Diceros bicornis minor: one gene and its partners. The protein of the gene in region 2 purifies or fractionates together with the protein of the main gene of each other region. This does not show direct contact. Links are inferred from orthologs where the notes say so. Each region holds a gene or a part of one and is shown on either strand. Other genes may lie near its edges. The genes, in order: ENKUR, MYH9, SPTAN1 and USP11.

The links.
Region 1: the proteins of MYH9 (region 2) and ENKUR purify together in Homo sapiens (affinity purification with western blotting; 4 studies listed by BioGRID, with this or other methods). This does not show direct contact. The link is inferred for Diceros bicornis minor from reciprocal best matches to the Homo sapiens genes MYH9 and ENKUR.
Region 3: the proteins of MYH9 (region 2) and SPTAN1 fractionate together in Homo sapiens (co-fractionation; 3 studies listed by BioGRID and IntAct, with this or other methods). This does not show direct contact. The link is inferred for Diceros bicornis minor from reciprocal best matches to the Homo sapiens genes MYH9 and SPTAN1.
Region 4: the proteins of MYH9 (region 2) and USP11 purify together in Homo sapiens (affinity purification with mass spectrometry; 3 studies listed by BioGRID, with this or other methods). This does not show direct contact. The link is inferred for Diceros bicornis minor from reciprocal best matches to the Homo sapiens genes MYH9 and USP11.

What each region holds. Positions count from the first base shown.
Region 1 is NC_080775.1:24,233,677-24,240,760, reverse strand, and holds the start of ENKUR (enkurin), read left to right. Parts: upstream 1-4,060; 5' UTR 4,061-4,288; coding exon 4,289-4,365; intron 4,366-7,084. UniProt on the Homo sapiens protein: Adapter that functions to localize a calcium-sensitive signal transduction machinery in sperm to a calcium-permeable ion channel.
Region 2 is NC_080764.1:13,205,323-13,213,451, forward strand, and holds the start of MYH9 (myosin-9), read left to right. Parts: upstream 1-5,014; 5' UTR 5,015-5,167; intron 5,168-8,129. UniProt on the Homo sapiens protein: Cellular myosin that appears to play a role in cytokinesis, cell shape, and specialized functions such as secretion and capping. Required for cortical actin clearance prior to oocyte exocytosis. Promotes cell motility in conjunction with S100A4.
Region 3 is NC_080767.1:36,367,915-36,375,260, forward strand, and holds the start of SPTAN1 (spectrin alpha chain, non-erythrocytic 1), read left to right. Parts: upstream 1-4,069; 5' UTR 4,070-4,178; intron 4,179-7,346. UniProt on the Homo sapiens protein: Fodrin, which seems to be involved in secretion, interacts with calmodulin in a calcium-dependent manner and is thus candidate for the calcium-dependent movement of the cytoskeleton at the membrane.
Region 4 is NC_080781.1:41,032,216-41,039,713, forward strand, and holds the start of USP11 (ubiquitin carboxyl-terminal hydrolase 11), read left to right. Parts: upstream 1-4,225; 5' UTR 4,226-5,700; coding exon 5,701-5,852; intron 5,853-7,498. Other genes in the region: CDK16 (cyclin-dependent kinase 16), read left to right, coding at 128-218, 1,926-2,003, 2,090-2,127.

The DNA of each region.
Region 1 (7,084 bases), on a different chromosome or scaffold from region 2:
GGACCCTGTTTACGGGATGAGAGCTGACACAAGAAGGCAGAGCCTCATCTTCTTTGACCTCAGCTTGGAACACGCACATCGGGAGACTCAAAGTTTTCAACACTGAGCACGTGGCCATGAATGACTGCAAAAGTGATGCAAGTATTAATTTTGGGTTATAAACAAATTATAGAGACCACAATTCACAAATACGGTACCTGTGAAAAGTGAGGACCAACTGCATATATGATTCAAAGCCATGTTATTGGATTTTTATTTATTTATATTTTAATATGTTTTTCAGTATGATGGTCATGAATAGGCAATTTTTCTTCACCCAAAGGACAAAATTATTTCAAATTAAACAGAAGTCAATCACATAAGAGTCAGAAAACAAAAATAGTACTTAAAGACCAAATCTCTTGGCCATAAAGTACTCAGGTTTTATTGTATCATTAATTTTCTCAAATATTTTTTGTAGAGCCAGTTCTACACAAAAATACTTTAGTTACACTCTCTAACTCCTCAGGGGATGGAAGATCTACACAACTCCATTATACATTAATAATTTTTAAATATGTTTTCCTACTGATCACTTATAGCGGGGCTTTTGACCCACTAATTCCAATGGATATTTTTTAGACATAAAAGACACTTGTCATTCAAATAGATAAATGAAAAGGCAGTGTTGTGTCAGTATTACAGCAAGAACCTTAAAAAACAAAAACAGAATGCCCACATGTACGTATTAATTCAAGTACCATGATCTCAAAACACAAATTTTAACAATTTTACTGTGGCAAGCTGATCAAAATGGAATAAAGAATTCAAGGGAAAAAAAACACAGAAATCACTTTTTTAAATGACTTTTAAATTATTTCCTATGAATGATAATAAAGTTACATTTTTAAACCAGAAATACATACTAATTTTCAACAACCCATTTACAGTGATGTTTTCCTAAGTTTACCACTAGATGACTGATAACCAAAATCATACTCAGCCCATATCAATTTTTACTTACAAAATGGTCCAGAAGAATTTTTCACTTACACTATAAAACTACCCAGTTTCTAATTCTCCTGGGAAATTGCCAAAATCCTATTTAGTCAAAATGATTTAGCATTTGTCACCAATTTAAAATATCTGTCATTATATACTGTTCCAAAATAAAAAGTAAGACATAGCACTTCAAAAACTATTTCATGATGAGAATTGGCTATAGTTCAATGAACTTCTGAAATATTTATGACACGATTATGCTTGTCATCCTACATTAATGCAATCTCTATTTAAATTTCTCAGAAGAGAAATTTAACCTAGTCCATTATCTTATGAAGAAATTCTGAGGTTTTAAAAAATTCTTAAAAATTACTGCATTTTTACAGCAATAAATTGTTTTCCAATAAGTAATAAGAAAAAATGCAAATATACAAGGACATAAATTAACCAGGGGCAAGCAAACTCTGCTGCTTCTGACTATTGAGCAAAAATCCCCTCAGCAAGCCCTTTAGTCAATCAGCTCCTACTTCCCTGGAAATCGGAGGTGGCGAGGGTGGAAGGATCACACATATCAGTGCCATCTTGTAATCACAGGGATCTTATAATCAAAAGCGTAATTTTGCAAGTTCACCACTCATCTCTGCCTTTATCTTAGTATCAAAGCTGACTAAGCCTGTCCTGTTGTTCGTCTTTTGCTGTTAGATACCCTCTTAATGGTCTTGAGTATTTAAATCAAGACTTTTTAAAAATCTTTTTCAATGCTATAATTTAGAAAAATATTGTAAAGAATGTCTTTATAAACGGTTTATCTTCCTCCCGATTGTCTTATTTATATGCCCACTTATGCCTGTTTTATTCATCTCAGTAGATTAAAATAACCTTTAGCAAGAAAACCTAACTTGGATGTACAATCATTTATATCAGGGGTCTTTGCAAACTACAACCCACAGGCCCAGTCTGGCCCACCACCCTTTTTGTAAATTAAGTTTCACCGGAAGACAACTTTGCTCATTCATTCGTTCATTTGTTTAGTGTTGTCTTCAGCTGCTTTTGAGCTACAATGGTAGAGCTGAGTAGTTTGGACAGAAACCATCTGGCCTGCAAAGGCCTAAAATATTTGTTATCCAGCACTTTACAGAAAAAGTTCATGACCTCTGATGGTGTACCAATACCAATTCCCTGCGGACATACTGGACACAGGCATTTCCTTGAACAGTACTGCCATTTTGAGGGAATTATAAAAATTAGAAATATATTCTTTGTAGACATGCTTTCAAAAGGCAAGCAGAATTACAAACCAAGTATCTAAGAAAAAGAAAGTTCCTTTCAAAATGATTTAACAACTTCATCTTGACTGTAAACTAAATATACTATAGTGAGGAGATCTTGAAGTCTGTTTAGTATTTTTAAAACCACAATAAATATACTGATATCAGTGAAATTACCATATTCAGTCACATCAAAAGGTCAAGACTAGCTAACGCCGGTTGGTGCTTACTCACTGGAAAAATCATGCTTTGCCCTTATTGGCTCTTTTAGGATCTGATTAACATAAATAGTCCCCAAGTGTTCCAAGTAGTATATACAGGAGCATCATCCTCAAAGTGTCACTGATCTGAATTAAATGCTTGTTAAAACGCCTGGGATAAAAATCAAAATCTGACCAACTGGATAAAAGAAAACTAAATTTATTCTTACTTAATGAAATTCACCAACAGCCAAAAATGATAAGGATCTACACCTTCAGCAAAGCCTTTTAAGTAGGAACTAGAAAGTTAACCAAGACACCCTCGTGTTTTAATCCCTCCCCTGAGCATCCTGGCAGCGAGACTACTAAAACCGCTGTTCTCTCTTGTCTGCGAGCATCTTCATTCCCTTTGGGCAGCGTGGCCTCTGTAAGGCTGGTTCACGACCATCTTTCTTCCTTCCCAAATAGTATTGCCAAAAAGTCTTTCAGAGACTTGGTATGGCAAAGGCTTCTAAATGAATTTCCTTAAGCAGTCATACGTGCATAAATAGGTTTATGGAAGACCAAATGGTTCAAAACGGAATAAAACTGCTTCTCAGAAAGAAGACAATTTTCCAAAAGGGACACCTAAAAAATGGGCAAAAATTCAAGGGCCCATTTAAAAGGCTTCTCCTTCTGGTTTGGGGGGGTCGTTTAAAAATCGTTAAGTTCACAGGCGGTGAACAAATAGGAGGCGCCCGTCCAAGAGGTAAAGTGGGCGGAGAGCAGGGAAGAGGCGATGCGCGGGAGAAGGCGGGGGGGGCGGCCAAAGGTGGATGGGGGGGCTCACTCGCACAGGTGGCGGGCAGGGCCGCGGCGAGTTCTGAGCAGCCGGGGACAGAAGCAGCCGGAAAACGAGCGCAGAGAGCTGACATGACAAACCGAGTAGTGGAAAGGGGAAGCAACGAGGGGGGACAAGGCATGCGATGCTAACGGACTGGATTCTACAGTGTCCCTGTCTTTCTCCTCAAATAACTCACCAAGAAAACCACACTGAGAAGTCGGAGGAAAGGAAAGGAAACGGGAGGGAGCGTCCAGGAGCCGCCAGTGCCCAAACCCGAGGCCTCCCTGGGCCCTCCCGGCCCCTGCTCAGCCGCCTCTGCGCCTGCGGCCGCGCGCCACGCCCACGCCCCGAGCGGCCGCGCACCGGGCACGTAACTCTCGCCCCGCGCTCCACCCACCTGGCCTCCCAGCTCCTTGGGCTCCTCCCCTCCCTCGTCTCGCTTTCGACGTTGGCCGTGCGTTAGCGTGGCCTCAACCGCTCGTCCCGCCCCCACCGGGATTGGCGCCTGCGCACAAGAGCCCGATTGTGTGACGCCTGCATACCAGCTGCTCTTCTTGTCTCAGGTAGAGTTTCTCTCTCTCTCCAAGTATACAGAGCTAGGAAAGAGCAACGGTTTTAAGAGGACGCCATTCTTCACCCCATTACTCCCAAAGGCACATATAAACAGTGATTTCCATGTTGAACTTCTCAGGCAGAAGATGTTGCTGCAGAGAGAGGGAAGAGAGGAAACCGAGTTTGCGGTGCTGCGTTCCACTTCCCCGTCGCCTAGTAACTGTTTCCATGGCAACCGCGCTATTAACCACGCTAAGCAACCCCAAGGGGAATAGAAGGGGTATTTTATTTTCTTCCCAAGAGGGGCTGCGAAGAAGTCAAAGGGGATTTATGTGAAAACGAAACCTTAGTTCTTTGAGAAGGCAAGAGAGTAGGAAAGGAAAGGGGACGCAGTGAAGAAAGGGACGGAGATATTGGTATAGTGAGAAAAAAGTTGTGTGGGTTTAAGGAGTTATTTGGTGGCCATGGATCCAACGTGCTCTTCTGAGAGCATTTATAACCTCATACCCAGTGACTGGAAGGAGCCTCCCCAGCCTCCTAGGTATGTGGGTAAGCAAAGATGATCACTTGAAACAAGAATGGGAAATAATTATTTCATTTCAGGTTTAACTAAGCATCATATGACTTTAAGAAATGACATGTATTGTTGCTCAATGAAGTAGCCATGGATGACAACTTCTTAGACAAGAGGTTGCAAAATCTAAGTATTTAGCATCTCACAATTCACAGAGAGGGCAGTCCAGTGCTGTGAGAGGGCCAAGTTATCGTGTTAGCCTCTGTTAATACGGTTTGTAATTGTTTTGTAATTCATGTAGTTGTTTGTACATGATGTACTATATATACAACGTAGCGTGAAATTTCTTGTTGAAAAGAGAAAATCCCAACTTTATTATCCTATGTTAGGATACTTGCTATTTGGTTTCAGGAGTTCATTGTTTTATTTCTGACTATGCTATTGCTCCCTCTCTAAAGGGATAGTACTTACTTTTCCCAAGATTATTGTCAAACATAAATTCCTATTTGTTTCTGAGCCTCAGTTTTTTTGATGGGTGAAACAAAATAGACTGAGTAGTTTCTAAGGTCTTTTTAGGATCTAATATTGGGTAGAAGAAGAGTGGATGGATAAAGACCCAAAAATATGTAATTGAGTTATAATTTTTACCTAATTTTTAGGTATTAGAACCCCTTAAGTTCCCCAAATTTCAGAAATGTAACCACAAAGTAAACATCTCACTTACCCTCCTGTGTAGGGACTTAGAACTTATTTAAATCTATGGGGAGAAAAGAAGGTAGCTAGTGGGGAAAATCTCATTCCCTCTAGGACTTTTGCTATCTTTTACCTTTTCCTGATGCAAATCAAAACCACATTGAAAGAGCACTGGGCTAAAAAACAGGCTCTGCAACTAATAGGTTTTGGGATAGTGAATAAATTTTCAGTTGTTTTCTGATCTGTAAAACAATCTAAATGAACTAGATAATCTTTAAGGTCTCTTTCAGATATAATGGTCAATTATTTTTACTAGTAATTACTTGGGGTGCCTAAAATCATCAACAAGTGGGCAAATCCTTCCATGTTAAGCGTTAGTATCTGGTTTTAACCAGAGCAGTACCTGCATTTTTTTCCATTAGCTACTCAAAATCTAGTAGAGATTAGAAAGAAGAATGGAAAGTAAGATATATTACAGTTGCAGAGTTTATGAGGAGTGAATTTAATTTGAATTTAAATTAAAATTAATTAATTCAAATTAACTATTGCTGAATGGACTTTTGGTCAAAAATTTCTGTATATTGTACAAGATAAAGCTCCTCCTCTCTGTAATCTGCTGTTAGACTGTAATTTCTATAGAGTACTGAATTTGAATGTTAAGATACTTAATTAGATGGGTGTTCTGTTCATTGGTAAATTAAAAAGCTTTACTGCATCTGGGTGATCTTTTCAAGAAATCTTATAGGAACAATCTTTGTTCATTTGACAAGCATTAACTGAGCCCCTCTTATGTGTATAGCATCATCCTTGGGGAATGTTCTCAGGGAATGTTGGAGTGACAGCACAAACTCCTTGGTTTACTCTGAAGAAATAAGTTGGGAAAAGGAACTTATGGTGAAGGGAATAGAAGGTATCTAAGTGTGGTGCCAAAGAACTCTTTCTGTTAGGGGGAAGTCAACCCACACTGTCAGCAACAACCATGAGGAGTTTTTAATTTGACAAGATGTCATGTGTGCAAATTATTAATTTATAAAAACGGAGCATAATAAAACATTTAACCAATTCTTTCTCACCACACCACCACAAACTTGCCCTGACCCAATATCCTTACTAATAGTAAGAATTAATCATAAGAACGAAATGTATTAAGCTATGAGGCTTATTTGCATCAGCAAGTTATAAACCCAGCTTCAAGAAAGCTCTCTGCAGCTCTTTGCAAGATTAGCGAGATGACTATCCAGCTTTCACAAAGAGGTTAATTCCTTGGGAAAATCAACAATTGACTGCACTGTGATCTCCCATACCTCAGAGGTTACAGTTTCCCTGGGGAACTGAACTATAAACATTAAAATGTTGATTAACAATAAAATCATATATTATTGAAAACCCTCATGAGAGATGCAGATACTAAATGAAAACTTAGAAAATGGATATATGTAACCAAAGTGGGGTGAAGGGCACCCTCTTGCAGTTGAACTGTGAGCTGGGACTTAAGGTATAAAAGTGTTCGAGTCAATGGGAAGCCATGAATCAGTTTTCAAAATTTCAGTTGCTCATGATTCATGAGATGGTTTCCAAGATCTTCACCAAACTTGTCACCCTTCTCTTGATGGCTCCAGTTATGTAATATCTCCAATCATTTTCTCTTTCCCTTTGTTTAAGGTAATATTCCAGATGTGGTCTGAACAGCCCATGGAACCATTATTCTCCTTTCCTTGATACACAATACTTTTATTAATACATCCATTAGCATTTTGACAGTCATGTCCCACATCGTCTCACATTGAAATTCCCACATGCATTATGACTAAGATTGGTCTCTCCCGTCCTGTAACTGTATGGCTGATTCTTTTTGATCAAAATTCATTAATAGATGGAGAAAGTTTTGAATTTTGAATATTTCATACACTCTCTTAACCATCCCACCCAGCTTTGTGTCATTTGCAAATTGAATAAGTATGTCTTTTATATCTCCATCTATCGTTACACAGGGCAAATTCTTTGCAATTTAGTAGGCTACTAGACACCTCTTTCTAGACTGACAGCAATACTG
Region 2 (8,129 bases):
GTATCCAGATGGCTCCCTTGGGCCCCCTCCCATTCACTAACTCTCTTCAAAGGGAACCTACATTCTGGCGTTTGTCAATTGCCTGTTTTAGAACTCCACATAAATGGAATCATACAGTATCTACTTTTTTTTATATCTAAACTCTTTCATTCAATAGTATGTCTGTGAGAGCCATTCATTAAAAACAAAAAATAACAGCTTAATTGAAATATAAGTCACAGGCAATACAGTTTATCCTTTTAAAGTATACAACTAAGTGGTTTTTTAGTATATTCACAGAGTTGTGCAACCATCCCCACTAGCTAATTTCAGAACATTTTCATTGCCTCAAAAAAAGACCCCTCATACCCATTAGCAGTAACTTCCCATTCTTTCCTCTCCCCAGCCTCTGGCAACCATTGATCTATTTTCTCTCTATAGATTTGCCTATTCTGGACATTTCATATACATGAAATTGTACAATACATGGTCTTTTGTGACTGGCTCCTTTTACTTAGCATAATGTCTTTAAGGGTCATCCATGTTGTAGCCTGTATTATGTAGCATGTATGTTATAGCATTTCTTTTTATTGCTGAATAATATGCCATTGTAGGAATATGCCACATTTTGTTTATCCATTCATCAGTTCATGGACGTTGGAGTCATTGTGTTTTCTACATGTAGCATTTGTTTGTTCTTGTTTTATTTCTGTATAGTAGTCCATTGTATGAACACACTCAATTTATCTATTTCACCACTGCTAAACTTTTCTCCTCCTACTTTGGCTATGTTAAGCTGCTATGATCATTTTTGTACATGTCTTTGTTGGGTTTAAGCACTCATTTCTGTTGCGGATATACTTAAGAATGGAATTGCTGGATCATAGGGTATACATGTATATTCAACTGTAGTAGATACAGGCAAACACTTTCCCAAAGTGGTTGTAGAAACTTATACTCCCACAAGCAATTTATGAGAATTGCAGTAGCTCCCAATCCCTGCCAACACTTGGTATCTTAATTTCAGTCATTCTGTTGGGGATAGTGCTATCTCATTGTGGTTTTAATTTGCATTCTGTGATAACTAATGATGTTTAGTACCTTGTCATTTGCTTACTGGCTAATTAGATATCCTCTTTTATGTAGTGCCCATTCAAATCTTTGCCCATTAAAAAAAAATTGGGTTGTCAGTTTTTTTCTTTTCTTTTTTTTTTTGTGAGGAAGATCAGCCCTGAGCTAACATCCATGCAAATCCTCCTCTTTTTGCTGAGGAAGACTGGCCCTGAGCTAACATCTATTGCCAATCCTCCTCCTTTTTTTTTCTCCCGGAAGCCCCAGTAGATAGTTGTATGTCGTAGTCGTACATCCTTCTAGTTGCTGTATGTGGGACGCCGCCTCAGCACGGCCGGACAAGCGGTGCGTCGGTGCGTGCCAGTGGTCCGAACCTGGGCCACCAGTAGCAGAGCGTGCCAAGCCACGGGGCCGGCCCTTTCAGTTTTTTTCTTAACATAGATATTCTTGATAAATTCTGGTTATACCTCCTTTGTTTATATATATATATATATATATAGTAAATATATTGTAAATATTTTTTCCCAGTCTGTGGTTTGATTTTTCACTCTCTTAAATGTATCTTTTGATGAACAGAAATTCTTAATTTTAATGAAGTTCAATTTAGCAATCTTTTCCTGTGGTTTATACTTTTTGTGTCTTGTTTAAGAAATTTTGCCTACTTCAAGGTCATGAAGATACTCTCCTATGCTTTCTTCTGGAAGTTTGATTGTTTACTTTTCACATTTAGGTCTCTGATCCATCCTAAACTATTTCTGGCAATGGTGTGAGTGTAGGAGTCAAGATTCACGTTTCCACATGTGGATATGCAATTGACCCAGCACCATTTATTAAAACGACCATCTTTTCCCACTTATTTGTAGTGGCACCTTTGTAATAAATCAGGTGACCATATATATGTAGCTCTCTCAATTTCATTTTAACTGTGTGTGTATGTATAAAGATTTGAAGAAAATAACAAGGTTTGTTAATAGTTGATATATTGAGGTGGTTAGGTTATGGGTGATTTTTATTTTCTTTCTTTTTAGCATTTTCCATACCAACCATGACACCATGTTAAGACCCAGAAAAAACGGATGAAATTTTTTCTAAACTATTACAAGAGTAGACACTATCAAGGGTGCAGGTCTTGGAAGATAGAGGAGGCGTTAGGCTGGACAGCAAGTGGGAACACTTCCTTAGTTAGGGAAGCATCTAGGCTGGTGGATGGGGAGGAGAGAATTCAGCGCCAGCTGACAGAGGCCTTCCATCTTCTTAGTGACCTCAGTTTCCTAGAGAGGGTGGTGCTAGGAATCTGGGGGTGTGAGGAAAATGGAAATGATCATTATCAATAACGCTCTGTTGTAAGTGCACACTGCTTTGTAGTTTACAAAACACTTTCAGGTCCACGTCTCCTGTGTTCTTCCCAACAGTCATGCGGGTTGGGCAAGGCCCAGCGATTATACCCATTTTACAGATAAGGAAACAGATGCTGTCTGAGTCCTGCTCAAGCATTCACTCAGGATCATTTTATGCCAAGCCTTGTGTTAGTTCTCAGTCCACAGAGGCAAAGAAGACACAGCCTCTGTCTGCCCTTAGGCAGCTTCTAGCCTCGGCAGAGGAAACAGCAAGTAAATGGACAATTATAATCCAGTGTGTAAGTGCTATGCGAGAGATAAACGCAAGATGATGTGGGAACACAGAGGAGGGACACCTAACTGGCCTGGAGTGTCATGGAAGATTTTTGGAAGCGGTGACATCGAAGTGAGTCTTTTTCTTCCATTTTGGAAAAATTATGCAAGTGATATATGTGTTAGAAACAGATAAGCAAAAGAAAAAATCAGTCACAATCCTTCTACCAAGACATAACCTCTATTTACACTTTGATATAATGTCTTTTAAACCTCATTGCCTCTCTCTCTCTGAAACACACACGTACACACACATACACACACACGTCAGGCACCCACACACGTACAAACATTGCATAAAAATAAATGAAATCCTGCAGTATTAGCATTCTATAATTTGCTCTTCCTCAGTATATTTTAAATCAGTAAATACAAATCTACATAAAAATTTTAATCACTTTCTGGGTATTTTTCAACACATGGATCTATCAAAATTTATTCAATCAATCTCTTATATTGTACATTTATTTCTAATATTAAATGACTATAAACAATGTTGCAAAGAACTTTTTAACCCATATCTGTACACTTTTCCAATTATTATTATTTTTTTTGTGTGAGGAAGATCAGCCCTGAGCTAACATCCATGCCAATCCTCCTGTTTTTTTGCTGAGGAAGACCGGCCCTGGGCTAATATCTGTGCCCATCTTCCTCTACTTTATATGGGACGCTGCCACAGCATGGCCTGACAAGCGATGCATCCGTGCGCACCGGGATCTGAACCTGGGCAGCCAGCAGTGGAGCGCGCACTTAACCGCGCACAGGGCCGGCCCCTCCAGTTATTTTTTTATGATGAATTCTTAGGGAGAATTGATCAATTTACTTTCCCATCTGTGTGGGCATTTTTATTCTTTTTTTAATTTGATAGGTGAAGAACGGTATCCCATGTTGTTTTGTTTGCATTTCAGATCAATCTTTTCATAATTATTGGGGATTTATATTTCTTCGTTTTTAATTGCCTGTTCCTTTTTTCGTCATTTTTATTTTGGAGTATTTGGGGTTTTTCTCATGGACCGAAAAGAGCCCTTTATATACTGTTGATAGTAATTCTTTGTCACAGAGTTGCAAAATCTTTTTTCCAGTGTTCTTTTGATCATAAACTTTTTCTGAAGTTCCTTTGGAAGAATAGTTTAGTCATGATAGGAAGAACATTCCAAAAGGAAAGAGTAATGAGAAATTTGCCCTCTTGGATATAAAATGTATTATAAAGCTATCATCATGAAAGTATTGTGGAACTGGCACAGGAACACACAGAGATCAATGGATACAGCTCAGAAACAGATCCAAGCATATATAAGAGCTCAAAAGGTGAGGAAGGTGGTACCTGAAGTCAGCAGAGAAAATGGTGTGTGTACACCTGGCTATTACAAAAATTACATTAGATTTCTTCCTCACTCCAAAATCAACATAAATTCCAGATGGATTAAAAGATAAGTGTGAAAAATTTTTTAAAAATTTCTATCTTTTCGTAGCGGGCAGTAACCAAAAAACCCCAAACAAACCCAATTAAACATTTTGTAACAAAATCTGAAAGGAAGGGTGCAAGTTAACCACGTGGAGGTGAAGAGAGGTTTGGAAGGGCGCTCCAGGCAGAGGGAACCCCTCCGAGCAAAGGTCTGGATCCTATAAGACAGCAGCGTGCCCACTCTAAAGAGATGGTCAGAAACCGAACTCAGGGCGCCCGCAACGGATCCGGGCTGAGTTCATATCCGCCCCCGCAGGCCATCATAATTATGTAAAATAGCACTTTTCCCATATATGGTACTTAATATCTGTTCTTCTGGTAGGATGTCTTGGGACAGGGAAAACAGCTTGCGGGGCGGGGCGTCAACCCGGGACCTCCCCCGTCTCCTCCGGCCCGGCCTCGCACCGGTGCAGGCAACGCCCCAAAATCCCGGGCCGGAGGCCTCTGCGAGCCTCCTCATCCTGATTGGACTCCCTCTATGTCAATCCCCCTCCTGAAACCTGGCTGTTCGTTGGGCCCGCCCTAGGGGGCGGGCCTCCCGCCTAGGAAGCGGGGGGGAAGGTGGAGAGGGTGGAGGTGGGGCGGATGGGGAGGGCAAGTCCCCACCCCTCTGGCCCAGAGGCTCCGCCTACCCCATCCCACAGGTCAAGATGTCTGTCCATCAAGACCAGGAGCGGGCCGGAGTGGGTGAAACAGCCAGAGGGGCGGGGTCTTTCCTCCAGGCTCCTCCCCGGAGCCGGCGCCGGGCTGGGAATGGGCGGGCGGCTTCGAGGGCGGGGCGGGAAGGCGGCGAGGAGGGGAGCTGGGTGCGGTGAGGCGCGCAGATCACCGCGGTTCCTGGGCAGGGCACGAAAGGCTGAGCCAGGCTGACCTGCTGCAGCTCCCGCCTCGCGCGCTCGCCCCACCCCGCCGTCGCCCGAGCGCTCGAGAAAGCCCTCTCGGGAGAAGCAGCGCCTGTTCCCCGGGGCAGATCCAGGTTCAGGTGAGCGAGCCCCACTGGCCGGTCCCGCCCGGGGCGGGCGGGCGGGCGGGGCGGCGGCGACGGGACGCGCGGCGTCTGGGGCGCGAAGGCCAGCGTGTGGTTCTCGGCCTCGGCGCGGCGGGCGACCGGCGTGGGCGGGAGCGAACGCCGCGGGGTCGGCCCGGCACTGCATCCTTCCCTTGGGGGCACCGGGACCCCCGCGCGGACGCTCGGGGAAGGCGCCGCTGGAAGCAGGCCCTCGGGGAGCAGAGGGAGGCTTCGGGGCCGGGCGCCCCCGGAAACCCTCCATCTCCCCTCGCCCGGCGCACTCCGCGGCGGGGCACCCGGAGCCTCGACCTCCCCCTGCTGCCGGGCGCGCGCCCCGCCCTCGCCTCGCCCAGTGCCCAAGTTGGGCAAACTTTTTAACCCCTTCCGGGGAGCCTCTGTCCCTTGGACCCGGCCGCACGGGTGAGGGTAAGGTGGGGGGCTCGGGGCAGCGGCTCCTTTGGAAGTTTCCAGGCATTTTCGAAACGGAGGTAACGGGCAGGCGGGGACCGTTTGGCAGTTGTCAGGGCGTCCTCCTGACTCAGAAGCGGACAATCCTGCAGCAGACATTGCGCTCGGCTCAGTTTCCGCCCTGCGCTCCCGACTTCCTCATTCGCCCGGCTGCGAGCAGTGGGGCGGAGGAGGGGACGCGGAGAGGTGCGGTGGGTGCATGGGGCAGGGGGACCCGGCGGGTACCGGGCCGCGAGGCAGGAAAGACCCCCCCCAGCCCCTCAACCTTTGTCTTTGGACTTCTGTTCCCCGGGAGAGCGAGGCCCGGGAATGCCCGCAGACGTCTGCGTGGTCCGGACGCGCACCTGATCCCGCCGCACCTGCGGGCCGCCCACCGGGCGGGGGCGGGGGCAGCTGGGCTCTGCTCCTTTAGGGCCAGGCCGGGGCTATGCGTCGTTCCTGTCTGGGCTAGATCCCGGGTTTTCTATGCCCCCCTCCCCTACTTCCTGTGTAGGGGTCCTCACCCCATGCTGTCCTGGGGCCACGCCCAGGGCAGGACCGCACACCCCTCCCATCCCTTCAGAGCCGCGTTGTTTCAAACAGAAACGGAGTACCCTCCAGGACGAGGTTGCCTGCTGTGTTGAGGTGGGGGCTGGGTGACTGCCGGGGCTGCTGTCGCGGCCGCACCCAGCCGGTGTGGGGAGAAGGTTCCTGGGAAGTCCCAGGTCCTGGAGACAGGCGGCTCTCTCCTCTGGGCAATCGAGAGGCTCAGCGGCTTCGTGGTTCACTGCACCCTTTGCTGAGTTTAACAAGATTTCAAAGTAACCGTTGAGTAGCTGTTGAAGGGGAAGAGAGCTTTAGCTCCTTCCTGCAACACTGTGGCCATTTCTGACTCCACTGTCTGAGCCTGGCCTGATAACCTCCCTGAGTGGTTTATTCCCTTTTTGGTAAGGAGGGAGGCTGCTTTAAGGCCTGTTGAGACAATCGCTCGATTAATATTAGTCAATTTATATACAAGGCTGCTGGGGGTGGGGGGAGGGTACGCAGATGTGTAATCGAGCAAATATTTAACTGGCTTCTGTGTGGCAGGGACTCTACCAGGTGGTGGGGGTGGGGGTGTAAGGTTGAGTAAGACCTGGCCCCTGCCCTCTGGCACCTAGGGCAGAGCTGAGACAAATCTGTAGATGACTCTAATGTGAGGCAAAGATGACAGAGACCCCAGAAAGGTACTGTGAGTCATGGGGATTGGGAGAAGGGAGCCAGCCTATCTTTCGGAGATCCCCCAGGCCTTCTCCTGGAGGGGAGTTTACAGTCCTCAAGGGGAAATAGTGGCCGAATGACTGAAATACAAAGACAGCCTGTGATGAGTGTCCCAAGCATGCCACAGACAAAGGACTCGAGGAATTCCGAGGGGCCATTTCTGTCTGGGGCTAGGAGGGAAGCTGCCTCGAGGAAGGAGCACGTTGCAGCTTTGGTAAACTGAGGCAAGCATTTGGTGTTGGAAAGTGAGGACTCATTTAGTGGTTAACTGAGTGGTAATTAAAAGCGTCAAGAGATTGCTCGTTGTAATTTGAGAGCCGCCGGAGTGACACCAGAAAGCTCTACCATTCACATCCAGCAAGTCCTGGCAGTGCCTGTGGGCAGATCTAGGTGCCCGGATTGGCAGGCTCTGTTTGGGGAATGGCAGCCCGAGAGGTGTATTCTGTGGGGCTGCCGGTCTGAAGGGCACATAAGAGTAGACGAAAGAGAGGGTCAGGGCCCTGACTTCTGTTTTTTATTTATTTTTTTTAATTTTATTTATTTATTTTTTTTTGTGAGGAGATCAGCCCTGAGCTAACATCCGCCAATCCTCCTCTTTTTTTTTTTTGCTGAGGAAGACGGCCCTGGGCTAACATCGGTGCCTATCTTCCTCCACTTTATATGGGACGCCGCCACAGCATGGCTTACCAAGCAGTGCGTCGGTGCGCGCCCGGGATCCGAACCAGCGAACCCCGGGCCGCCGCAGCGGAGCGCGCGCACTTAACCGCTTGCGCCACTCGGCCGGCCCCTGTTTTTTATTTTTAAGCTTTTAACCTAAGGGGTTGGAGATGAGACAACTTCCCTCTTGCAGGATGAAGGATGCATGTTAATCACAGCCTGGCTTTTGCCTCTTGCTCCAGAAAAAACAAAACAAGGATCTGTTAGCTTTTTAAAAGGAGAAAAGCACACTCAAAAAATGCAGCATTGTTATGTAGCCTGGTAGGGTATTGCTAGAAACCAGGCGGACTGTGTTTTCTTCACTTCCTCTTCTAGCTAATCCTTCAGTAAAGTACTTAAGACAGCCCTTACCAGCTTGACATCTTTATTTCAAAAGGAGAGGAGGGGTTGGCTGTTGTTTTCCATTGAGCCGGGCCCTACCCTTCTCTTGGAGGGGAAGAAAGAGAAAGCCAAAGCAAAGGGAAAAAAAAGAATCCATGCCTTGACAGCTTCCTCCCAAGCATCATGTTCC
Region 3 (7,346 bases), on a different chromosome or scaffold from region 2:
CTGGGACCTGCAGAAAGCAGGTGAGAGCTGGGGTCTTCCAGCTATGTGATGAATTTACAAAAACACCCATTATAAAGGAATTTATCCTCTAGTTTATCGCCGGGCTTCATTTTTTAAATACCAGTTCATACAGATGACATTCAAGAAATATTTTTCTTGGGGCCAGCCCAGTGGCATAGTGGTTAAGTTCACACGCCACGCTTCGGTGGCCTCGGGTTTGCAGGTTTGGATCCCAGGCATGGACCTACACACCGCTCATCAAGCCATGCTGTGGCAGCCTTCCACGTACAAAATAGAAGAAGATTGGCATAGATGTTAGCTCAGGGACAATCTTACTCAAGCAGAAAAAAAAAGCATGAAGTTGGAAAAATAACCTGTTTAGGAGGTGGCTAAGCTCAGGTCTGGAGAAAAGCAAGAGGAAATGATCCTGTGGAAAGGTAAGCTGGAACAAGCTTGAGGAGGCTCCTGAATCTCTATTGAAATAGTCTGCACGATTCTGTAGGCAATGGGAAGCTACTAGATTTCTGAGAGAGTTTGACATGGTTTGTGAAACATTCTAACTGTGTCTTCAAGATGAACAGGAGGTGTAGAGACTGACGGGGCCTAACAAGTCAGCCCACAAGATTACAGATATGACATAAGTGAGCTGAGTTAGGAAGATGTCCCAGGGGAGAGAGGAGCTCACCTCTCTGCTGTCACCTGCAGTCCTTTTAAGAAGGCCAGCCTGGGGGGCCAGCCCAGTGGCGTAGCTCCACTTCAGCAGCCCTGGGTTCGCAGGTACGGATCCCAGGTGCAGACCTACACACCACGCATCAAGCCATGCTGTGGTGGCATCCCATATACAAAATAGTGGAAGATGGGCACAGATGTTAGCTCAGGGCCAATCTCCCTCACCAAAAAAAAAAAAAAGACCAGCCTGTCAAGGCCATGCTCCCAGCAGTTGTCAGGCCTCTTCTCTAATGTGGTCTCTGATTTCAGAAGCAGTCACGGTGTCTCATTTTTTTTTTAATTGTGGCAAAATGTACACAACATAAAATTTACTATATTAGCCATTTTTAAGTGTACAGTTCTGTGGTATTAAGTATACTCATGTTGTTGTATAACCATCACTATCATCCACCTCCAGAACTTTATCATCTCACAAAACTGAAATTCTGTCCCCATTAAACACTAACTCCCTCTACCCCTCCCCCAGCCCCTGGTGACCCATGTTCTACTCTCTGTCTCTATGAATCTGACGATTCTAGGGACCTCATGGAAGCAGAATCATACAATATTTGTCCTTTTGTGTCTGGTTTATTAAGGTTCCTCCAGTCACTGTTTTGAAGGTCTGTGCTGTTCCTTGCCAGCTCTCACACTGCAGAATGTCGTCTGGGAAGCAGTGCAGTCCACTTCTGGCCTGACTTCCCAATCAGCTCCCTTGTTTCGAGGAAAAATAGAGGAATGCTTAGCGCTTGCTTGTTAACTGTGCTTGTTAACTGTGCGTGCGTGCGTGCGTGTGTGTAGAGACTCACCCAGAGAGAGTGGGCAAGTAACTTTCCATGGCCGGAACACGTGAAAATATCATTACAATTGATGTATTCCCCAACGGTTGACCTCTTGAACAAGTTGAAAATGTACTGAGACCACTTAGATGCCTAAGCTTACGGCATATACCAAACCTTCAGAGAACGCTGGAAACTAGGAAAAGGAGCTACCTGCGCTTTTCACGAGGCCAGGAACGAAGTGACTGAGAACCTGGAGTTGATTGGTTACAGAGCTGCTATACTGTCCTCTGCTTTTTTCTTTTTTTTTCTGAATGAGTTTCTCTCAGACAACAAAGAGGCCATTATCTGCTTTGTCATCTCCCTCTCCCCACACCTAGCAGAGTGTTAGGCTATGGTGAAATTGGTGGGAGGTGAGGTAGGCAGACAATAGAACATGTGAAAAATGGCTTTTTAAATGCCTCCAGTGCCAAATGCAGACTGGGGTGCATGAGTGAGGGGGAGGCAGAAGGGCTGGAGACACTGCTTTTTGGCCATGTCTCAGATCAGACAAAGGATCAACAAATATGATTTCAGTGTCTGTCTCAATATAGAAGCTCTCTCTAAGGTCAAATCTGTTTTGCATCTGGTAAAAGCAGCAAAACCCCCATTTCCTAATGAGGCCAGAGTGATCTAAAAGAAAAATCCTCCTTTTTTATAGCTCCTGGCCACAGGCTTGAGACCCATTCTTTGCCGGAACAGAAGGTCTTGGAAATTTTGGAGAGCTGTGATTGTGTTAGCCATTTTGTACCCAGAGCTGAATATCTGATTAAACATTTTGCTGCTCCCCGCTGGAGAAGAGGCTGTCGCTGCCATCAGCTGTTCCCAGAAATGCACACCCCAGGGAAGAGTTACCGGTCCTGTTTTCTCTACAGAGGAGATTGCAGGAAATGCCTCTCAGCTCCTACGTTTTTCCTCCAGATTCTGTAAAGCTGCTTCTGGTGTGTGGCCACTCCTTTTTTCTCTCTGCTCTGATGGAGTGAAGGAATGGGAGAATTTTTCCTCACTATCATGGCTACAGCCAAGACTGCTTAGAAACCAGATTGCAGATCCCAGGCACAGAGGAAGAAGCCAGACTGGAGAGGACCAGGAAGCTCAGGGCTCGGCCTGGGTGCAAGCTCTGGTGCAGTGCCCAGTGCCTTTATATTGATTTAAAGAGGGCTGCCTGGTAACTGGGAGGCTGAGGCCTTCCTGAGCTGCAGAGCTCCTGGTCTGCCTGACTGCACAGGAATGATCTGGGTGTTACTCCCAATGGCTGCCACCCAGCTGTCACCGGAGTAGGGGTGGGGAAAGGGCTTCCTAACCAAGGGCTTCTAGTTATAGAGTTTAGAGCCAGGCCCTTGAGCTTCTAAGACTGTAAGGAACAGAAATTCCAGAAATCCTCTTATTTTTCTTTTCTCTGCACCCTGGCATCCACCATCACAATGCCTCTCTTTCCTATGGGAAGGCAGTCCAACAAACTGTTTCAGAGTAGGTCCTTGACTGCTTGGATTCAAATCCTAGCTTCTCCTCTTGTTAGCTGCCTGACCCAGGGCAAGAGACCTAGCTTCCATATCAGGGTGCTGCTCATTTGTGAAATGGGGAAATAACACCTACCTCATAAAATTATTGCAAAGATTAAAAAGAAAAAGGTAATACACATGAAGTGCTTAGCATAGTGCTGGTACATAAGGAAAGTTCAGTAAACTGTGGCAGGAGGAAGCTTAATATCTTGTTTATAAAATACGACTGATGCATCCTATTCCCAGAGTGACCTGTGAGAAAGCTTTTGCTGTAAGAATATAAGAAATTATTAACTCTCAAAATTCTGGAATGACAAACTCCAAATTAGTAGGCTTTATTTTTTATAATCGGATTTGGCCTTTTCTTACCACCTTCTCAATCCCGGAGACAAAAATCATCCTGGGTGTCTTGACCTCAGCCACCACCCGAGTAGGCTGACTTGGGTCTGCAGCCCCAGCCTTTTCCTAGGGAAAGGGGCCAGGAGGAAGAGAAGCACACGGGTGACCTCACCCTTTGGGACTGGGCGTTTTTCCGGCCGGGGTGTGCAGCATCTCCAGCCAGACTGCAGTGATGGCCCCTGCCCCGCCCTTCGCTGCAGTCCTGGAAAGGCTCCCAGGGGCGGAGGGGTGGGGTGCAGAAGATTCTCTGCAGGGAGGGGAGGGGCAGGATTGGAGGATCCAAGCTGCGGGGAGGGCGGTGTGGCTGGAGCATCTCGGCCCGCCTGGGCGGAGGCAGCGACTCCTCTGCACCATCAACCCCCACCCTTGGCGCGCGCCCTCCTTCCCCATCCTCCCGCTGCGCTCCCCCGGCTCGGCTCTTCCCCTGCATCGCCGCTTCGGCTCCTTCCGGCAAGGTTCGGCCCCTTCCGCCCGGCGATCGGGAGCTGAGCCGACGGGAGCTCCGCCCCCTTTGCTTCTCCGGCGCTCGCCCCCGCCCCTCGCGCCGCGCCGAGGCGCTTCCCCCGCGCTCGCGCCCGCCCGCCGCCGGAACGCGCGTGGCCGCCTATAAAAGGGGCGGGGCGCGCGCGTCGCCGCCAGTATCCGCTGCGGAGCGAACGGCGAGGAGCGGAGGCCGCGGAGGCGCGTTGGTCTCTCAGCAGCACCCCACACCCTCCAGCCCGACGCACCCACGGCCCTCACCCTCCAGGAGCCGGTGAGAGCGGGAGCGGGGGAGCTCGGGGCGGGAGCGGGCCCCCAGGGCGGGCGGCCCCCGGGCGGGGAGCCGGGCGGCCCCCGGGGCGGGGCGGGGCCGGCGCGCGGACAGGTGAGCCGGGCGGGCGTCGCAGCACCCTCGGTCGGGCGGGAGCCGGGCGAGCCGGCCGCGACCGGCTTGTGGCGCGTGGGCTGCGGACGAGCCGCCTGGCGAGTCTGGGCGCCGGCCGCTGGAATGTCATTGACGGGGCGGAGGGGGAGCGAGGCCGCCGGCTCCCTCCCCGCCCCCTCCCCGAGTCCGGCCCCATCCGGCTGCGGCAGGTGGGGCGGGGGCTCCCTGGTCGGATCGTCACCTTCCCCCTCCCTGCAGAGCGCTCCCCCCACCGCCCCCAGTCCCTTCCCTCGTGGGGAGCGACTTCTGCAGCTCCTTTGCCCCAATCCCCCCAAGCAATGCCGGCCCAACCCTTGAAGGAGGAAGAACCGACCTCAGAGTAAAGGGCTCTTTGACCTTATTCTTATCCTGTATGGCGAGTCTTGGCCTTCTCTTTTAGACGCAGAACGGTCCGAGACTGGCCATCATCTCCTTTTCTTACCTTGTAATAAACATTTCTTTCTTACCCAGTTGTGATTCGCTTGTAAATTATAGGTAGATGCGGCGCTTGCTTTGTATGAGACCTAAATCAAATAACTTAATAGCTCCGAGGTTGTTTTTTTTTCCCCCCCGAGACTGGGTCTTTCGAGTCGAGGGCGGTATATTTGTCAAAAATTCTACAGCCATCCCGGTGTGGAATGATAGAAGCAGCCTTTTGTTTGAAAGCCATCCCTGCGAATTTGATTAGATGCTTCCCCAAGAAAATTGCCTTTAAAAGTCCCTTTGATGTACTGAAATAAAATATCTTAAATAAGGGGCTTGTTAAGGTTAAGGGTTGCATATATTTTAAATTAAAAGCCTGAATAGCACAGAAAGCGGTTTTGAGATGATATTTGGATTGCTGCAGCACCTTGTCAAATCTGTTTTATATAATAGATCCTAAAATATGTAGGCCCTTTGTTCTGTCTTCATCGTGGTATTTTAGAAAAACTTACCATCATGGCTGTTAGGGAAGAATAGAAGAGAGAACATATGAAGTATTTTCATAACGTGTGGAGAAATTGCGTCGTCATGGCAATTGGACTTGAGTAAATCAGAATGTATCAAAGATGGAAGGATGGGGGTGTCTTGCAGCCAGGAAACAGCAAACCTTCAGAATAGCAGTGGGAACACTTGGCTGTACGAAGCCGTTGAGCCAAGATTCCACCTCCTTAAACTAGTCATTTATTTTTCCCTTTGCTTGCAGCTAGTGTCTTAGATTTTGAAAGGTCAAATTGAAGTCAAAGTTTAAAAAATGTGCTGCAGGAAAAAAAAAGCGCTGCAGAATGGCCTCCGTGCAGGAAATTAACAATAAGCCTTTTTTAGTAACTGGGCCAATAATTACTCAAAGGGACCCTCAAAGTGTGTTAGTTGTTATCCAGGGACCTAGATGGAGAGAGGAGACTTGAAAGGAGGATTTGCTTTGTGCTGGACAGGTGTGAAGCCATTCCTAATGTAAACCATCAGCCTGATAACATTCTCTGATACGCTTTTGGTCTCAGCGGTGAGTTTTGTAGTAATCTAATAATTGGAGAAATCCGATCTGTCACAGGCTCTAATATGAGCTTGTCAAGCAATCTGATGAACAGGTGTAGGTGGAGAGAGCTGTTTTTTAAGTATATCTTTTGGTTCCCTGCATTAGAATTTTCTCTACTTTTCCTTACCTGCCTCCATCGCAAAGGGAGGGGCCGGCTGCACATCCTGAGAAGTGGAAATCAGGAATAGTCCACAGTCCTGGCATTGCTGAACCTGCATTAAGGACAGTGGGCACCAGGCCGGCCTTGTAATCAATCCTCCCTGGGCTATTCGAGGACTCCGCTGGTTCTGCAGGCGGGTCTGCTACAGCTGTGATCAGAGTAGGTAGAAAAATGCGACGCCCTGGTGGCAAATGCTGACTCGAGGCATGCAGAGGAGGGACGCAGAGCTGATCACTTGGGGGCCAGTGGACTGGAGCAGCTGCTGTGCTGGTTACCTCCCTTCCACCTTTTTTGCATATTCCTCTTGTACCGGTTTTGAACAGGAAATAGTATTTTGTAAAGGAAATGTACCAGTAAACTAGGCCCAAGTCAGATCTTTGTAGCTTGAGTTAATTCTTGTTTCTGATGATTTCATGAAATCATGCTATTTTATTACTGAATGGAAGGGGGGTTTAGGAATCATCTAGTCCCAGGAGTCTCAGTTTATCGGAATATGGGTCGAGGGAGGGCATGTTTATCATTAAAAAGTGTATTCAGTATTATTACTTTATTTGAAAAGTGGGGAAACTGAGACCCAAAAGAGGATATGACTTGGCCAAAGCCGCACATCTTTTAGATAGGAACTGCTAAGACCAGAGAATCTTGGTTCTCTTTCCACATTTTAAATCCCCAGTGGGGGGGCCGGCCCGGTGGCACAAGTGGTGAAGTGCCCGGGGTTCGCCAGTTCGGATCCTGGGCGTGCACAGACGCACCGCTTGTCAAGCCATGCTGTGGCGGCGTCCCATATAAAGTGGAGGAAGATGGGCACGGATGTTAGCCCAGGGCCAGTCTTCCTCACAAAAATAAAAAATAAAATAAATCCCTGGTGGGATTTAGAAGCTCCATAGAATAAGACAGGCGTCGGGAAAACATCTGAAATTTGATATTTACCTGTATTCGATGTGTTTAAAGGTCTGCTTTCTTCATTTTGAAATTATTCTGTTCAGTTTGGCCTCAGAAGCTTGTCGTCTTGCTCTCCCCCTGTCTTTAGCCTCCACATTCCTCCATCATGTTGTCATCGTTTCGTAAGCGCAGAGTCCAGGTATTTGACCGGCATGCAGGAAACGTGTTGGCTTTTCGGGTTTGCCTGGCTTGCAGTGAAGACACATTTGTGTCAAAGAGGTTGAATGATCCAAAGAGAGGGGGAAAAAACTCTGCCTGCATGATCTTTCTGCTAAGCAAATTGGTTAGGGTTTGGATTTTGTTGGGTTTTTTTGGTGTTACATGAACAGAAGTCATAGTAAATTTATTCTAAAATTTCCAAAGCCTCCTGTTTTTTACCTTCCTCTCTTTAAGGCATGAA
Region 4 (7,498 bases), on a different chromosome or scaffold from region 2:
TGGGGGCTAAGGGATTCCAGGTGTAGGGAAACGGAGTTCCAGGGGCAGGGTCTGGAGTGGGGAGGAAGAGAGGCCTACTCATTGGAGGTGTCAGTATTCCACACATACACCCCCGCCCCCCACTCAGTTTGAAGGTCGCAATCGGATCTCCGCAGAGGACGCCATGAAACATCTATTCTTCCTCAGTCTGGGGGAGCGGATCCACAAACTTCCTGACAGTGAGTGGATCTGGGGAATGGAGCTGCCGGTGGGGGGCCTGTGGGAAACAGGACAGCTGCAGACAGCTTGGGCAGGTCGTGTAGGGCTCTGGCTACGCCACCTCTAAGAGGGTACACCCTTGTTCACACGTGTGATGTGTTTATTACAAAAAAAGTTATTTTCGTTTTTAGTTCCTGTCACCTTTCATAGAAATTTTCAAACATACATAAAAAAATAGATGCAACATCACTTTACCTGGTGTGCGTGTGTGTGTGTGTGTGTGTGTGTGTGTGTGTAAGATCGGTCCTGAGCTAACATCTGCCAATCCTCCTCTTTTTTGCTGAGGAAGACTGGCCCTGGGCTAACATCCATGCCCATCTTCCTCCACTTTATATGGGACACCGCCAACAGCATGGCTTGACAAGCGGTGCGTTGGTGCGTGCCCAGGATCCAAACTGGCAAATCCCAGGCCCCGCAGTGGAATGCGCACACTTAACCGCTTGCGCCACCGGGGCGGCCCCTACTTTACCTTTTTTTTTAAGTAAATGTTTCCTTGTAAAATATATACTGAGAAATGCACAGATCGTAAGTATACAGCACAATGAATTTTCACAAACTAGACACACCCATGTAATGGCATCCAGGTCAAAAACCAGGATGGGAGAAGCTCCCCCAGCGTGCCCCCATTTCCTTCACTTACTCCCGGTCCCCTTCCCAAGGGTCACTGCAAATTGGACTTATAACCACATAGATAAGGTTTCCCTGTCTTGTACTTTACAGAAATGGAATCACACGGGGTATTCTCTTTTTATTTTTTTATTTTTATTTTTTTATTTTTATTTTATTTTTTTTGGTGAGGGAGATCAGCCCTGAGATAACATCCGTGCTAATCCTCCTCTTTTTGCTGAGGAAGACCGGCTCTGAGCTAACATCTATTGCCAATCCTCCTCCTTTTTTTTTTTTTTCCCCCAAAGCCCCAGTAGATAGTTGTATGTCGTAGTTGCACATCCTTCTAGTTGCTGTATGTGGGACTCGGCCTCAGCATGGCCGGAGAAGCGGTGCGTTGGTGCGCGCCCGGGATCTGAACCCGGGCCGCCAGTAGTGGAGCGTGAGCACTTAACCGCTAAGCCACGGGGCCGGCCCTGGTATTCTCTTTTTATATCTGACTTGTAAAAACTTTTTAATATGGATATTTTAAAATTAGCTATATTTATATACTAGACCAAATAATAGGTTGAGTCCCCAAGTATTCCAATAGATCATCAACTTGTGGCCAATCTGGTTTTATCTGTATTCCTTCTGATTATTTTGACTCACATCCCAGACATATCGTTCATCTATAAATAATTTCAGCATGTATCTCCAAAATATTCTTTTAAACGTAATGATATTATCACAGCTAAAAAAATTGGCCCACTTCTCATGTCTCCCCACTGGATTAATCTAAATCAAATCCCAGATACCATCCATCACCTAGACTTAACAGGTGGTAATTGTAGTACCATCGTCACACTTGACAGAATTAATAATGATTTCTTGGTGTCATGTAATAGTCTATATTCCACTTCTAGTGTATTTGGTTTGTGTGTGGGATTATTTAACAGACGAAAGTCAGGTCTCTCAAAGAAAAGGCAAATTTTTCTAGTTTGCCCTGTGGGGCCATATGGGAGGTGGTCCTGCATGGCCCCATGGGTCATTCCCCACTTCTGTCTCTCCTCCACGCACAGCTACTTCCATATTTGCACTAAAGGAGATCCAGCTACAAAAGGAGGCCAGCCTTCGATCTTCATCAATGCCTGACTCAGGTAGATGTGGCCCTCGCCCTCTTCCCTGCCTCTTCCACCTACCTGCTTGCCTACCAACAGCCATCCGCTCTGCTTTCCCCCCGCAGGCAGGCCAGCTTTCCGTGTGGTGGACACCGAGTTCTAAGCTGAGTTCTAAGCCACAGATCAAGGCCCCAGCAGGCAGCGGCTGGAGGGATGCCACACCCCTCACAGGGCAGCCCCCCAACTGCATTCTCCCTGCTTGCTGCCTGCCTACCTGCCTGACTCATGCTCGCCTGCCCACGTGTCCCCTGCTGCCTGTCTGGACACCCGACCATTGGCCTGTCAACCCACCTATTGGCCTGTCTGCTGGGTGCTAACAAAGCTCTCATTGCTCCTTCGCCTGGTCTCTCTGTCTGTCTCTCTCTCTGTCTTGGTAGTTGCCAGCGGACAGCATGGCCATGCCAGCCTCCCACACTGAGGCCGGGCCTGTACCCCTCCCCATCAAACCCTCCCCCAGGACCACTACCCCGTGGCCAGCCAAGGGGCCGGAGCTAGCCCAGGCTGGGGATCTCGAGTCAGACAAGATGTGGTGATGCCTTGGGTCTGAGGCTTCCCCTGCCTGCTTTCCTGCCTGCCCCACCTGCCTCATGTTGTGTGGGCTTTTTTTTTTTGTTTCATTCATTGTTGTTTTTTAATTATTTTAAATGAGGTTTTCATTTTTTAAATGCAATATCTCTGTATACAGACTGGCTGGGCTCCACCCCCTGCGTGTGGCCCTCCCACAGTATTTTGTGCAATGAAGCCCCACTCCCAGCCTTTCTAAGGCAGGGACACAGCCCCTATTCGGAACCTTGACCATCACCAGACCCTGGGGTCAGCTAAGGGAAAGCATGCCTCGACCAGTCGCCTTCCTACCCCCGCCTGCCATCCCCAGCCACAGGGGGAACTGGGGACTACCGGAGACTCTCTGGGAGATGGGCGAGGTGGGGGGCCCCCACTCTTTCCCTCCTGCAGTCCCATAGCTGGGGCCTTCTTCCTTCTCAGGGTCTCCCTAGCCCAGCCCTCCTGCCCCCGTCCCACTTGGTGCTGTTGAGTAGGGGCCCTGCCAGGAACTGACCAACTCAATGAGGAGCCATAGTGTGTATATGTGCACAAGCAGGGGCAAAGGGGAGCATGGGGGGTTGTGCCCAGGCATTACCCTCTAACTCCTGGGGAGGGTGAGGCAGGGCAGGGACAGTCTCTGGGGTCAGTCCCAGATGGGTGGTTACCTCCCCTTCCTCCACTCTAAACCCTGGGGCCCTCAGATGGGGTGGGAGGGCAGCAGTGGGGGCCCTCCTAGTGGGGTTTGGGGGGTTGGGTTCCTGAATGCACCATAATTGCTGTATGAAATATTAAAGTCTAAAGTGAAAAACCTGATTGCAAATCCCTGCAGGGGTGGGGGTGGGCTTGACCCAGGGTTAGTACTGGGACCTTGGCGAATTCATACCTGGTCCCCAATGTCTAGGAGAGCACTGAGAGTGGGCCAGGGGCACATCACGACTGTGAAAAAGGCATCTGAGGGGTTGTACACGCAACAGTGGAACATTGAGTTGAAGCAGGTAGGGCAGGCCGAATAGAGGGGCTCAGAAGCAGAGAGAGGAGTTAGATTTACCCAAGAATATGAGGAAGCCAGATAGAGGGTAGAGATAGGTGAGTGTGGAGAGGTTGTTTGAAAGACACTTGGAAGGCCCAATAAAACCAGGAGGTGGGGAGATGAGGCAGAGAGATCCAGTATGACCACTATATGTCTGACCAGGACACCATGAGTTGGGCCAGTTGGAGAGGGAATATGAGAGGAGGGTAGATTTTGGATCACTGAGTAGGTAGGGGAATCCTTTAATACATGGGTCAAATTGAGGAGTTGGGCCATCGATGGAACTGGAAGTTTGGATCATTGGTGTCTAGGAAGTAATGGAAACCATGGGCATGGGTAAGGTGATGCTGGGAAGGATGCAATGGTTTGTGAGAATCCAGAGGTTAAATGGTGCAGCCTGGAACTTGGCCTCAGGTGTGAGGATAGCTGAGGCTTTGGGGGCTGGCATCACAGTAATAAAGACACAATCTTTGCCCCGTGGAGGTTAACTGAAAATAGAGGTAAATTATGAGATTGTGTGTATGGGTGTATGTGTGTGTGGAGGGTGTTAAATTGTGCAGGGAGAGGGTATTCTGGACACTCAAGGCCCAGGGACCTGTGTGCATGGGCCTAGAGGCATGGAAAGGCAAGGTGTGTTCTTGCCTGTGGGAATGGGTGGTGACAGTGAAGGAAGTCACTGAAACATCTGGAATCATGAACCTGTCTTGGGGAATTTGTGGGACGGTCAGGTGAGGACAGCGAATAGGCAGGTAGATGCAGGGAGCCAGAGAGGGAAATGACGTTATCACCAACAGGCAGGGCTGGGAGCCCTAGAAGAGAAAAGGATGGCATAGCCTAGTGCAGTGGTTCTCAACCGGAGAATCCCCACCACCACCACCACCACTAGGGGATGTTTGGCAATGTCTAGAGACACTTTTGGTTGTCCCAATTGGGAGGTGCTACTGGTGTCTTGTGGGTAGAGGCCAGGGATGCAGCTAAACATCCTACAATGCTTCCCACAACAGAAATATCAATGTTGTCTTGGTTGAGAAACCCTGGCCTAGTGCAATAGTTCTCAAACGGTCTCAGGATCCCTTTATATTCTTAAAAATTGAGGACATCCAAAGAGCTTTTGCTTATGTCATGTAGCCCCTGGAAAATTACACCGCACATGCAAGAAAGAATGGCAATGGAAAAGTATTGTGAAAATAGTTTTGACTTTGTAAACCCCCTTAGAGGGTCTCCTGAACCAGTAGAAAGCCTAGGACCACAGTTTGAGAATCCTTGGCCTGGTGTTTAAGATCACAGCTCTAGAACTGGAATTCCTGAGTTCGAACCACAGCTCAGCCATTTACTAGCTGGAGCAAAGTGAATTAATGTTTCTGGACCTCAGCTTGCCTCATTGTTGCCCATGGACCACAGTGATATTATCTGCTGCCTAAGGCTACTATTTACATGCAATAAAGCACTTAAGCAGGGCCGACTATTATTAGTTATTGCTGTAACTCCAACAAATACACAGGGCCTAGGGCTAACTTGCCTTCAACACGTTTGTCTAGAGAATAAATCTGGGCAGGCAGGGAAGCGGCCCGCAGGCCTGGGTGGCGCTTTAGAGGTGGTGACCTTTTTCGCATTGGGTTTTTATGGATCAGAAGGGTAGTGCAATGAAAGAAAGGCATTCTGGTCAGGCTAACAAAGACGCTGCTCGCAGGGTAGAGGCCCCCAGCAGAGCATGGGACCCGTAAGACCAGAACCTGTGTGTGTGTGTCCCTGAGCACTCCTGAATATGTCTTCGTCCACCTCGGGGACCTCTGCCTCCACCTTCCACATTACCGTCTGCCCTGGCTCAACATGGTGTCAGAATCCCACAGGGTACCTTTGTCTTTCTTAGTTCCCAACTGGAGGTTTTACCCCGCCTATTGGTCGCAGTGATCACCGCCCACAGCCCGACGCCTGCCTAGCCCTTCCACGCGTCCAAGCGTGGGGTCCATTTCCAAGATGGAAGTAGCCCCCCGGCGTTTGGGGGGCTCTGTTTCCGCTTCCGGGACCAGAATCCGGAAGTGGCAGTTGAGGGGCCTCTTCCTATCACCAGCTGCGGCGGTTGTGAGAAGAGGGTGAACGGCCATGGCGGCAGTCGCAGCGGATCCGGCGGCTGCGGATGCGGCCGAGGACCGAGAGCCACAGCGCGAAGCCATGCCGGGCCTGGAGAGCCAGCGGCGCCAGATCAAAAACAGCGAGAGTGGGCGAGAGCGTCCACTGCGGACCGGCGAAAGCTGGTGAGGCAGGGCGGCAAGCGGAGCCTCGGCTGAGCGGACGGTGGGGGCGTCGGCTACGGGGCGGCCGTGGTCCACAGGAGAATCGCCGTGGGGGCGGGGGCACTGGCCTGTGGGACGGAGGACGAGAGGGGCGGGGAAGTGCCTGTGAGTGGATCGCCTCCTCTGGGAAAGAGGCGGGGCCTGTGTGGTGGAGCCTGACGCCTGAGAACAAGATGTGGTTTGTTGTGGAAAGGCAGGGGGCAGGGCCTGAGAAGAACGGCCCTGGGGGTGGGGCCAGGCGTGTGTTGGAACTCGGAACCTGGGAAGGAGGCGGTCTCTGCAACAGAGCCCGGGGGCGGGGTCTGTGTGGCGAAACGGGGGCGGTGCCGGGTACCCCGCGGCGCCTGAGCGAGGCCGGGCGGGTGACGTCGGGCAGAAGAGCGGGATCTGAGCCTTACGGCTGTGGGCAGGAGGAGGGAGCTGGCGCCTGGGAACGAGGCTTGTGACGTGGTCCGAGGGGCGTGTCCTGAGCCGGAGGAGAGACTGCAGAGGGGAGGTGGTGTCTGTGAAGCAGAAAATGGCGCCTGCGAATGAGCAAAGTTTGTGACGCGGTGAGGTTTTTGCCTCTGGCCGAGGCCTTCTTCCCGGGACAGGAGAAAGTGCAGGTGATTGGCATGGGAGGGGCCTTCGATGTTACGTTTGTTTTCTGTTTTGGTACTGTTTTGTTTTTGTAATCAGGAAAAAATAGTAATTTAAAAAAAAAGTCCATGCCTATCTTGATAAATCGGCTTGTTCTACTGATTTCTTTGCTAACCAGTGCTTGAAATGAACTGTTTATGGGTTCATTTTATTTCTCGCTAAGTTGCATCCCGTTTTTTAAATTGTGAAATTCGTGAGACCTAAAAAGATGATAGAAAACGTTTACGTAGCGCAGATTGATGGACATTCCATAAAAATAAACGGCCTTTGCTCTTCAAAAATTTCAAGGTCGTGAAAGACAAAGGATGAAGAACTGTTCCAGACTGAAGGAATTAATGGGATTTAACGAGTCATGATAACTAAATGCAACGTGTGATCCTAGATTGGATCCCGGAGGAGAAAAAATAAATTATTTAAAAGTCAGGTTTTTTTCTCATAAAATTAATTTTCTCTCTTTTACTATAAAAGATATTAATGAGAAAATTGGTAAAATTTGACTAAGGTCTGTAGATTAGATATTAATACTGCTAATTTCTTGCTTTTGATAATTGTATTGTGGTTATGAAAGAATATCTTTATTTTTTTGGAAATACATGCTGAAATATTTAGGAGTAAAGAGCCATCGTGTAAGCAGCTTACTCTCAAATGCTTGAAAAAAAAGAGCATATATAAAAATGTATTGAGGGGGCGGGCCCAGTGGTGGCGTAGTGGTTAAGTTCGCGCGCTCTGCTTCGGCGGCCCGGGGTTCGCAGGTTCGGATCCCGGATGCGGACCTCCGTACCGCTCATCGAGCCATGCTGTGGTGGCATCCCATATACAAAATAGAGGAAGATGGGCACAGATGTTGGCTCAGGACTAACCTTCCTCAGCAAATAAGGGGAGGGTTGGCAACGGATGTTAGCTCAGGGCCAGTCTTCCTCACCAAAAAAAAAAAAGTATTTAAAGAAACAACGATGGAGCAAATGGGT